Linked DNA regions of Cricetulus griseus. The protein of the gene in region 1 interacts with the protein of each later gene in a pairwise test. Links are inferred from orthologs where the notes say so. Each region holds a gene or a part of one and is shown on either strand. Other genes may lie near its edges.

Region 1 (6,180 bases):
AATTAGGGCTGGTTTGCTATAAAATCATACTAATGTTACATGTTTTTGTCATGTCTATAACCCCCAATTTGTATTTGCAAGCAAGATTAAAATAATGGGTAGTAATAATAATAATAATAATGACAAAAGGCCCTAAAATATGCATTTGATTCAAAGATATAGAAGAGATAAGGATACACAGGGAGTTAACTGAAGAAATTTTAAGTTAAACACAACTATAAACATGCCTCTATCTTAGATTATATACATGAAAAACAAATATTTCAAAATTGTTATACAAACAAAAGTTATGACATTATTGAGCATACTTAGCTACTTTGTTTCTTTTAGAGGGAAAGTGGTTGTGGGAATTCTTATTAGGATAATGTAGGGAGACACCATAACCATGCCTCCTAAGGGCTGGCTACAGGTGTGCCTGATCACGCCTGTCAAGGCATGGTCAAGGTGAGGTCAGCATGACAGGGAATGGGCTCTTAAGGGACCACAAGCACATGGGAGCTCCATCTTCTTCTCCTTCCCCTTTTCCGTGTCCCTTCTCTCTGGCTTGCTTCTGGCTGGTGTTTATCTGAATAAAAAGATATCTTAACCTTACAGACTATGGCTTGTCCTCGCTCTCGATATACCTGGCGCCGTGTTCAGGTTGGACACCCCTTTCAGATGACTTTAGGGTTTAGCTGAAATAGACATAGTTAGGATATGCAATAGCAGATTATTGTATCTTCTTGCATTTCACCTTCATGATTGATTGTTAATTTTGGATATTTTACACTATTAAGTTTTAATCCTCTTTTAGACTAACAGGGGAATTGTAGCCTCCTAAGGGCTGGCTACAGGTGTGCCTGATCACGCCTGTCAAGGCATGGTCAAGGTGAGGTCAGCATGAAAGGGAATGGGCTCTTAAGGGACCACAAGCACATGGGAGCTCCATCTTCTTCTTCTCCTTCCCCTTTTCCGTGGCCCTTCTCTCTGGCTTGCTTCTGGCTGGTGTTTATCTGAATAAAAAGATATCTTAACCTTACAGACTATGGCTTGTCCTCGCTCTCGATATACCTGGCGCCGTGTTCAGGTTGGACACCCCTTTCAGATGACTTTAGGGTTTAGCTGAAATAGACATAGTTAGGATATGCAATAGCAGATTATTGTATCTTCTTGTATTTCACCTTTATGATTGATTGTTAATTTTGGATATTTTACACTATTAAGTTTTAATCCTCTTTAGACTAACAGGGGAATTATAGGGAGACACCGTAACCACGCCTCCTAAGGGCTGGCTACAGGTGTGCCTAACCACACCTATCAAGGCATGGTCAAGGTGAGGTCAGGATGACATGGAATGGGCTCTTAAGGGACCACGAGCACATGGGAGCTCCTTCTTCTTCTTCTCCTTCCCCTTCTCCCTGGCCCTTCTCTCTGGCTTGCATTTGGCTGGTGTTCATCTGAATAAAAGATATCTTAACCTTTTAGACTATGGATTGTCCTTGCTCTCGATATAGGATAATGAACTTCTCTTGCTGACAGACAAAAAAGTTTGTGTATGAGAATATATAATGTATAGCAGGAATATTCAACATATGGGTCTCAGAGACTGTGTGTAAGAAATAAGGAGGGGGTAGACTTTGGACAAGAGTCTGTGGAATTATAAGTAGGCAATACTGAGATCATTTTGTCTCAGATATACCACAAAGTTTCAGGTGAGTATTATAGCTGTTAGGATTAGTAAAATGGTCACAAATTAAGAAGTATAAAACTGGGGCTGGGAAGATGGCTCTGATAGCAAAATGCTTCCCAGGCAAGCATGGACACTTGCATTTCAGTCCCTGGTACCCACATAAAACTCCAGGTATGGAAGCATGTACAGGTAACCCTAGTGCTGGGGATGTGGTTCCTTGTAGCTCACTGACCAGCCAGCCTGGCCATATCAATCAACTCTCAGTTCAGTGAGAAAATTAAGGTGGAAGAGCAAGTGAGTTAGCTTCTGGCCTCCACATGCACGTCCATACATGTGCACACACACATACTCACACACACACATGAACATACATACACAAACAGTATACAAACATGTACACATAATATAAAGCCTTTGCATGGTGCTTCTTTCAATTAGTAGGTTATATATATATATATATATATTATATATATATATATATATATATATATATATTCTGTGAAAGTCCAGAAATGTTCACTTCAAAAGACTGAAAACCAATGGTACGAAGAATTTACAAACCTTCAGTGAGATAGAAAAGATAGTACAAGGTCATATGAAAGCAATGGAAAGAAGGTCAGCAGTTTTCATGTGTAAATCACTTACCCACACAAAAATTAGCAGAGCATTAAAATGACAATTTAGAGGTAACAAAAGATACAGATATTATCTATCTTCTTCCCACAAAAGACATAGTGGCTAACTTACTATTGAAATCAAAATTACTGTATTAGTCTTGCAGTTAGATTAGAACACAAGCCATGTACTGATATGCAAGTGATATTTGAAAGAATGTATCATCTTTCAATAATTATGAATTGGTAATGAATTAATTAATTAGCTTAAAATCACTTAGTCCTAAAGGAATAGGGCTTCTGAGTATATGTCTTCTGATAACAATTCCAATATATTAACTATGAATAATTCTATTATAATATAGAGCAGAAATAGTATTGTCAATAAAAAGAAAATAAATATTGGTAGGGTAGAAAGGAATTGCCAAAAATTGGGAGACGGAGGACAGCGGGGTAAGGTGGTTATGCAGCATCCATAGAGAGGAGAAAGTAAGTACTGGAAGGAAGATCTGGGAATGCAGGAAATGTATTTTCCTTATCAGCCCCTTTCATGTGCTAAGGCTGTATCTAACTCAGCGAGGTAATAGGTAGTCTCATATGAACTGATACTGCAATGGAGTGATTATCTAGATGAAGTTACTTACTGGGAAAGGTGATGAAAGCCTGTCCCCTCATGCGTCCACTCATGATTTGAAACTGAATGGGTGGTCCTTTTTTCTCCTGGAACCGAGCGAATAATGAGATAAGGTCTCTTTCTTTCACCCGAGGACTAAGGTTCTTCAAGTATAGCACCTAATACAAATTGAAAAGTGACAAAAATATCACAGAAAGAAAGCAACTCTTTCATTATGGCTTGAATTACTTTCAGATGGGAGACTGAAGATTCATCTGATGTTATTCTCTCTAGTAAACTCTAAAACAACAAGTCCTGAAACCAACAATGTCAGAAAGAACTCAGAAAGAAGGGAATAGCAACAATGTTCTGGAAGATACAAAATAAATAGCGAGTAGGAACTAAGCACACCAAATAAGGCTCACTAGCAAATGCTTTGGGCAGAAAATCCAAGCACACAGTGAATCTTCTTTAAAAGTCTTCAAAAGTCAGATGTGGGCTAGGGAGGTGGCTCAGTGGATACAAGTGCTGTACAAACCTGATTTGACATCCTTGTAAAAGGCTGGGTGGATCCCAGCGCTTGCTTACCAGCCAGTCTAGCTAGTTAGCGATTTCTAAACTCAGTGAGCCCCTATTTTAAAAAGTAAGGTAGAGAGCAACAGAGGAAGACATGTGACACTGAACTCTGGCCTCTATGTATGCGCATACACACACACACACACACACACACACACACACACACACACACACACACACACACCCTCACATATATATGACAAATATAAAAGCTTTCAAAGTTGGCACAGTGATGAAAACCTATAGTTCTACCAGCAAGGAAGGCTGAGTTGGGACAAGAGTCCACTCTGGACAACATAGTGACATCCTGTCTAAAAATCAAATAAATATACAAAAAAGAAAAAAATTAATGCATGCACAAAACGTTCAAGAATTGATAGCTTCAGGTGGCTCTGGAAATAGATGTGATTAGATAGGGTTGAATGAGGATGGTAAGTTGAAAGCTGTTGTAAACTGAAATTAGATCTTTACCCTCTCTGCAACTTTAGTACTAGGTGAGGGCAACTCACCAATCCTGGCAGAATATTGAAGGTTGATTGTCAGTAAATTTGGAATGTCTCATATAGTTGAGGTCAAGAGTAGTGCATTTTGAAAGCAAGGAGACTGAAAGAATGCCTACCAAATACTGGGAACACCCATGATCTGACTACCATTCCTCTACTAATACTGGTAGCTCCTTTACAAGAAAGCACAGGGAACAGTCTCCTGCAGGGGAACTAATCCCCAAGAAAGATCAAAACACTGACTTGGAATAGGGGAGTTCTCCAACAGATGATCCAGCCAGATCATCTGGTTCATTGTTATTACTGTTTTGTTTCTGTCATCTGGAGACAGAGACTGACTATATAACCCAGGCTGGCCTAGAACTCACAATCTTCCCGCTTCAGCCTTCTAAGTGCTGGGATTATAAAATATCACCTTGAATTCAAAGTACACAAGGCCATGATCTCAGAACTTGTAAACAACTTTACACTCAGAAATAAGGACAGGGATTATCAGGCATATGAGAAAGGCTTCTAATGTAAAGGACAGAGAATGGGCAGAAAAGCAAATGAGAGAAAACAGAAACAATGAAGAAAACAGAATTAAAAATCAACAACAAAAACCAACCTGTGACTAATACCCTCAGGAAAATATTCTATCAATTAGTAATAGGATGCTATTGAAATTTTAATAGAACAAAATACCATCTTATATGTTATTTAACTTACATATTATGAGCTTAAAACGTTGTTCTAGCCACGGTAATCACAAAGAAAATAAACACATACAGAGGAAAATGAGAAAAAAAGGAAATATCCACTGACCAAGTGGATAAAGAGAGGGTAGCATATACATAGACCAGAATACTATTTAATCATTAAAGAGAAAAATCCTATTATGAATGAGATTTTTCTGCAAAGAAACCATATCTAATACTGAACCCTGTAAAAGGCTGAAAACTCCAATGACTGTGGAGAGGTTGGGATGATGCAGGCCCAGGGCCTATCTTTAGCCACCCCTAATATTCATTCCTTGCCCACATCTGTGTCTGACCCAACACACTTGTGATTAACAAGTGAAATCTTGTGAAATGTATGAACAGACCACTAGCTTCCACCCACCAAAATGCTAAGAATGTCATCAGAAAGCATATGAGGTCTGTAGCAGTGGTTTCTCCAACTTGCTGTAACCCACCTACCTGATGTTTCCACCAATATACTTGAAAACACCTTGATTTATGATTTTCTTTGTTCTTCTGTTACTATGAAAAGTCATTAAACTGTTACCATCTTGCAGCATGGATTGTGGGGTAACCTGAACTTGTATTACCAGGTCATAGTTACTGATATCTGGCTCAAAAATAAACTATCTTTTATCCTTTTTGAGGTAAAAGTTATGTTTTTTGTTTTCCATTAACACTATCATATGCTATGACACACAAACTTTTATGAGCACATGCTCAGTGACTGAGGACAAATATTCTATTATTTTACTTAGACAAAGCATTTAAAGTAGTCCAAATTATTGAAGCTAAAAGTATAATGGCGGTAAGTTACTGGGAGGGGAAAATGGGGGAATTGCTTCAGTCATAGAAGAGAAAACCCTACAAACCTGCTATACAACACTATGCTGAGGCCAACAACACTGTTTGGATCCTTAAATCTTTCATAGAAAGGCAGATCCAATGCACTCTTTAAACAATACAAAAAGGATGGGAGAAGGAAAAGTTATTTAACATAGTTTTCACTTTAAAAATTAGGAAAGACTTTACACTAGAACAGAGAATAGCCAGGAAATGACTGATACAGTTGCTGAAATATATGAAGAAATACATTAAACATTATTAAAAGTTACTTTGTAGTGGAATCTTTAGCTCTAACTCTTAACCTTAAAAAGCAATGTGAGACTAAAAATTAAGCCCAATACACAGCAGAAGATGGCCAACACAGAACAAACCTCAATGGTATGACTGTAAATTTTTTGCCCCATTATTGCTTTGTTTGGGCATTTTTAAAAAATTGTGCTGGGCTTTTGCTTATATATTATGGTTTCTGATTTTGTGGGGTTTTTTTGTGTGTGGTATATGTGTCTGTGTGTGCATTTCTTGTGCCTTTTCTTTTCCTCTGGTTTGCTTATTTACCTGTTTGTTTCCTGGAAGGAGAGAAAGAAGCCATAGAGTTGGATGGGTGGGGAAGATCTGGGAAGATATAGAGGGAAAACTGGGA
Region 2 (6,180 bases), on another chromosome or scaffold:
AAGCAGTTTTATAGTTCTTATCCTCTTAATACAGTTAGAAATTAAAAAAGGAGAACAAAATTTACTGAATAATTTCAATATTGAGATAGTAACTTCAAAACAACCTTTAAATGTCTCTGTTTTCCTTAGGCCCCTCCTGGTAACACATGACAACTAAACAGTTGATTTTATAATGATGGTACCTCTCAGATAACGGCCATGGCTTACACTACCAAGTATTATCCTAAATCAGTGTGTCTAAGATCAGGAGGCAACATCTCCGGGGGTGGGGCTATTTGGAAGCAAGTATTTCAATAAGTGATAAGTATGCACTTTAAACTGTGCTACTCGGCCGTAGGGTTTGAGGTGAGGGATTATAAATGCTCTGTAGAGTTGAGTGTGAGACTCAGTGCTGACCTGCATATAGAGATGCCAGTGGCATTTCTGCTTGTAGACCACTTTATGAATGAGCCCTGGACAACAAGTATACAGTGCTTTTGATGTTTCTGTCTTTTTTTAAACATTAATATAAAAAATGGTGCAAACCTAGACACAAATTCATCTTTGTGTTTCCACAAGAGCCAAATTCAATAACATTTTTTACTCTTAATGTCAATTTAAAGACATGCTAGAGTGTTTACATGTTTCACCAGACATCAGTTTTCTCACATTCTGACTCAAGATGAAATTCACACTGTCCATTTGCAGAATAGACATCATAATATCAAATCTATGTTTGCTATTGTGATTGCATTAGCTCAAGCAACATCTCAGTGAACTCTGCAAACCAAACTCAGGTTTCTAGAAATCGTTTGTAGCTTGTCCTTGAACTATGTCATAGGTCACTTTCACATAAAAAATAGAGTAATCTGATAGTGTATTTTAATATTTCTGATGATGTCGAAGTACCTACTATATTGGTGTGAGAATCAAGGGGTCTGGCTTTTAGCAGTGACGCTAGTTTGAGTTTTCGGCCCTGTGTTTGATATCCTGTAGTTGTTCTTTCTACATTGACTCATTTCCACTTGGAGAGAGGCCCCTAAGACTTAGAAACTAAGCTCTACCACCCGAGTCTCTGGAAGCTCCTATAGTGTACAAGATTCATGCCTGCCTCTTTGCCACCCAGGGTTATACAAGCTATATCAGTTACTGGAGAGAGGGGAAAAGGAGAGAGAGAGAAAGAGAGAGTCCTTTAGCTGAGGCGCAAATCGTGCAGGGAGCTCCAGGTATGCTGCTTTCTTAAATCATCAGCCATGCTGATGTGGGCTTTTCAGTGGTGTGGCTGCTCCTGAGTCCTCGGAACGCCTGTGAATAACCTTGCCACCATGCCCCTGCAGCCCTGATAAAATCACTGAATCGCTAAAATAGACTTGGACAGAATTGCTCCTTTGGTTTGTCATCAGTGTCAGATCTGAGGTGAATGATTTTTGTTTTTTATTTGCTTATCTGCTTTTTTCACATTTCCATAAGAAAAGACAGTTGTTCATCAGTAAAACCGGGGTATTTGTTATCTATGTCTTAAAGGGTTGTGATATTGAGTAACTAAAATCTAGCAAGCTGCCCTGAGGCATGCTCTGGTGCCTGTCTTGAGGCACATTCCCCTCTCTTGCTTTTCCAGCTTCAATGGCTTCTTTGTTCCTTCACTGTGGAGGTTCCAATGTCTGCCTACCATTCCTTGCTCTGCCTGAATATGCTAAGAGTACCTGCTCTTGCCCTCACTTCCTTCATGTTTCTGCTCAAGTATTCCTGGGAACAGATAATCACAGGCCACTGTATAAACCACAGCTCTCCCAGTTTCCTCTAAGACTTTCTTTGTCATATGCTAATGGTGTAACACCTTATCTACTACTTTTTCTATACTAAAACATAATTTTGAAAAAGACAGAAAATTTTATTATTTTCTTTAGCAATCATATCCTAATGCAAATGTAGAGATTTTCCTCAATCAGTCTATATAAAATTTTCTAATATACACACTTAGCTAGAAACCTGGCATCTCCACTATTTACAGACTAGGTGAAATAGTGGAAGGACTTTTAATTATTTAGGAACTATTTATTCAGATGCATATCTCTCCTAGTAACCTAGGATAATTGCAAAGTTATGCTTAAAAAGTTCTATTATATCATTTTCCCAGTTTGAATCTTGGTTATCCTATTCCAAAAATATTTGAAGCATAGACCATTTACATGTTTCTCTGAAAAGAAAGGCTATGTAACTTTTTTAAAGTGACAGTGTTCCTCCATTAAAAGCAACATGTCCTATTTCCAGGCTTCATTCTATCACACACCAATAAAGCAGAGAATACAGTGTAATTTACCAGGATTAAATTCAGTTCTAGGTTATCTTTTTTATTGTCTGTCTACTGTAGTGCACTATTGAGGAATTTAACTATAGATAATTACCAGGTAGCTGAATGGTAGTGAATGCTGTAGGCATTTATCAATAATAGTTATTCCTACTTTTTAAAAAAAGAATCCTCAGTGTAAAGGGAAAAAGTAGAAATAAAACAAACTTAAGAAGAAAGTGTAGGAACCATATTAAATGGTACCCAACCTCTCAGGGTACTTAAGGTAATCAGGGGCCCCTCTAACTGAGGCTGAGTTTAAAGGGAAATAAAGCAGGTACTTACATTTAGAGCCTGATGAAGATGACCCACCAACAGTAGATCTGGATCCCCCTTTCATGGAAAACACGCCTTTCCCCCTGCGTGTGGTGGTGACAGCCACTCTGGGACGCTTCAGTGGAATGACAGCTCGAGGAGGCGGAGGCACACGTCCATGGTAATCAAACAGCCTTCACAAACATGAATGGTTGAGAGTTGGTAAAATGCCTAAACATTCTATGAAACACATGGAAGTATTCATAGAATAACTATAAAATTTTTGGCAAGTATACTTCTATCCTTGTTTATTATACAGACAAGATACTTATTAATTAGTTCAATTTTTTTCAGAAGGCAATGGGATGTTCTTTCTGCAAGTTAGACTTTGACCTGACTCTAAACTGTTATAATAAAGCAAAGGAGCTTTGCTCTGAAGGCAGAATGAAATTTGCCAAAATCAGGTCAACCTTTGTACTCTGCTATATTTCTTTGTTTGAGCAAACAAATTTACCTTAATGTTGAACAGACACTTTGGGAACTTATACATATATTGGGCACTTAAATTTACTTGAGAGTGGAATGATTACACATATCATAAACTAAGAAACCAAAAAAAAAAGAATCCTCAGTGTAAAGGGAAAAAGTAGAAATAAAACAAACTTAAGAAGAAAGTGTAGGAACCATATTAAATGGTACCCAACCTCTCAGGGTACTTAAGGTAATCAGGGGCCCCTCTAACTGAGGCCGAGTTTAAAGGAAACAGAGCTAGCACAAGGCTACAAACATGTTGAACAAAACACTATAGGGAACTGATAATTAGAACACTTGGTTATTCTGAGTGTTTTCCACGTATGCAAATTGAAAGAGATATTTGTTCAGTGAGCTAGCGAAACGTTTTCTAACCAAAAAGAAAATCAGTAAATGTCCTACTATGACTGAAAGAAAAGCTGATATTCATTACAGCAATGCATTTCCAATGAACAGCAAAAGAATAAAGGTATATAATGTTAACACACATATGGAAATATGTCATTCAGAGATTTGAATGATTCGTATTACTTCTTAAGCAAACACATATGCAGCAATTTTTATATGATAGCATATTTGAGAAGCATAACAACTTAGGGACAAAATGCTGGGTTATATTTACGCATTTATTTTTTAAAACAATTTTCTAACAAAAAAGATATATAATTATAGTTCCAAGAACACAAGAAAAGACATTATTGATTTATGTTGATGGTTGTTAGGTATTTGATTTTGACACTATTACATAAATTTTAGTTTGCAATTGATTTAAAACAGTCAATAATTAAATGAAGATGAAATCCAGAAAATAAGGCAATATGCAATTCAGAGAAGAGAAACTAGATCAGGAAGAAAATAGTGAAAAAAATTTCTAGAAGAAGTTATTTTATAGAAGTGCATGTTGTGTACATATATGTCTGAAAATGTTATAATCTCTTTTGGGAAACTAATATAGGGAACATGGTAAAATATAAACTGGTTTTCAATAATTTGTTCAAAAATATTTATAAAGATTACATAATAAGATAAAAGGACAATGCTTAAGTTTAAAAGGGACCTTTTAATGCAAAGATTATCTCCTACATGCCTAGAAGGGAAAAGATGTCAAATGTGGCAGAGGTCAAGGGAGGCCCCATCCCGCATGAACTGGCAAAGTACTAGAGGGCAGAGGACCTACTGGCAAAGAGCAGTAGATGTCAGCACACTTGGGTTTCCTTCAAAGCCCACAGCTGGATGAGGCAGAAAGGGTGGTGAATACAATCCGTAACAACAGAGAATTGAAAATCAGAAGGGTCAAGAAAATCTGCCCCTCATTTCCATCACAAAACAAGGTGTACATTAGTTATTTATAAGATGAATTCAAAGAGTTCCCTAAGTCAGTGCATCAAGGAACAATACCCAAGAAAATCAAGAGGAAGAAAATGTGCCATTTGGCTCTGTCTTCACGTGAGAAATTACCATTTAAGGTAAAAGGTTCCCCTCGTTTTTTCATGTGCTCTGAGGATGTTCCTTAAATAAACAAACCTGTTTACTGGGTAAAGAAAATCTGCATAGTGCAATGAGTCTGGGAATCCAGAAAGATAAGAACTCTGGTGGACATGCTGAGAAAATTAACCACCACATCATTGTTAACCTAATCACAATGCTCTTTAATCTTTAAAGCCACTTTCTAGGTCACTGAAACATTTGTCAGTATGTTGTCATACTCTACAGGCTGTGTTCCAGAACCTTTGTCTGGTGTTGGGTTTCCCAGGCCTCATCTCTCAATGCCCAGTGGCTTTCTCTATCAAAGAATCAGGTGGGATCTTTACTAGTGCCTTGTGCCACTCTGATGTGACTGTGGAAAGCATTAGAGCTTAACTGTTTTAATGTCGTAAGTAACATAAAAACAAGATGAAAGGAAGGTATGGGTACTTCAAATGTGAACAAAATTCTAATGTTTATACTATTTAATGGAATTGGAAGCTGTCTTAAATATCATTGGGCACCTTTGGGTTATCAGAAATGTAAGCAAGGAATCTGGGCATGGCTCTAATGCACAAACTGTAGCATGCTAAGTGGAAAAGGGTTAATTTTCTAGGCTTGGGAGAATGGCTAGAGTGTCTAAATGAAGAAGGAAGTAGCTGGGATACCAAGAAGACAGCTTAGTTTTTTCATCAGAATTCACTCTTCAGTAAATAAAATTAGTTTATCTTTATAAATAGCTTTGGGAGTAAGGACAACTCACTTGAAATTATAGGCTGTCTAAAAAATTACAGTCAAGCAAAATGGAATGAAAGCAACATTTCAAAGGTTGGCTGAAGTATTTAAATTGTTTTTATTGTCATCATATTATTTCACTAGTTCTTACAATTATATCTCTACTCTTTTCTAATGGGTATCTTAGTTCCCCTAATAGAGTTTACTCAGAAAAAAACTTCCGATACTTTTTAAATAGATAATGGATATTACAAAACCAAGAGTATATCTTCCCTTTTCCAAGGTTAATTTTGAAATGAATACTCAAAAACCTTCCCTCTATTTGTCAAGGAAATAAAAGTAGTAATAAGACTGATGTAGCCCTTAGAAGAATTTGAAGCTTCATTTTTCATTTCAGAAACATTTAAATTACATATTTTATTGTTACACTGTTGTTTGCTTTAAATAGAGATTCATATTATTACATCCTAGCAAAATTTAAAAGCTGATAAGCCTAATTTTAATACTTATTTATTTGATAAAATTGTCAGAGCTTGTCTCTTAGAAGAAGGATATTAATTTTCATTCCCTATCCTTAAAGCAGGTGTGCTTTGGATAAAATCAATTTAGTGCCATCTTAACATAAACACAGATAGTGAATATACTCACTTCATTACTTTGAGAATATATAGTACTAGTATATAGTATAGTAACAATAATTGTGTTTTGGGAAAATACATGAACAACGTCCTACATTTATACAACAAAACAAACTCTGTCATCTGAGTTTTCCCTTTAGCCATCTCTACCTTTTTTACATAACCAAAACAACAGTGCAAATATAGACATGCACAAAGAATATGTCAATCTGGTATATTAAAAAGATTTCT

What was found. The genes of interacting proteins can lie anywhere in the genome.
Region 2: the proteins of Rbm41 (region 1) and Ralyl interact in binary tests that used the Homo sapiens proteins (3 or more experiments, as listed by UniProt). The two-hybrid records come from large-scale screens. The link is inferred for Cricetulus griseus from reciprocal best matches to the Homo sapiens genes RBM41 and RALYL.

Annotation. Positions count from the first base shown.
Region 1 is NC_048604.1:40,385,223-40,391,402, reverse strand, and holds part of Rbm41 (RNA-binding protein 41), read right to left. Parts: intron 3,076-6,180; coding exon 2,928-3,075; intron 1,102-2,927; coding exon of another isoform or gene 1,091-1,101; exon of another isoform or gene 773-1,090; intron 1-772. UniProt on the Homo sapiens protein: May bind RNA.
Region 2 is NC_048595.1:134,729,382-134,735,561, forward strand, and holds part of Ralyl (RNA-binding Raly-like protein), read right to left. Parts: intron 2,776-6,180; coding exon 2,612-2,775; intron 1-2,611.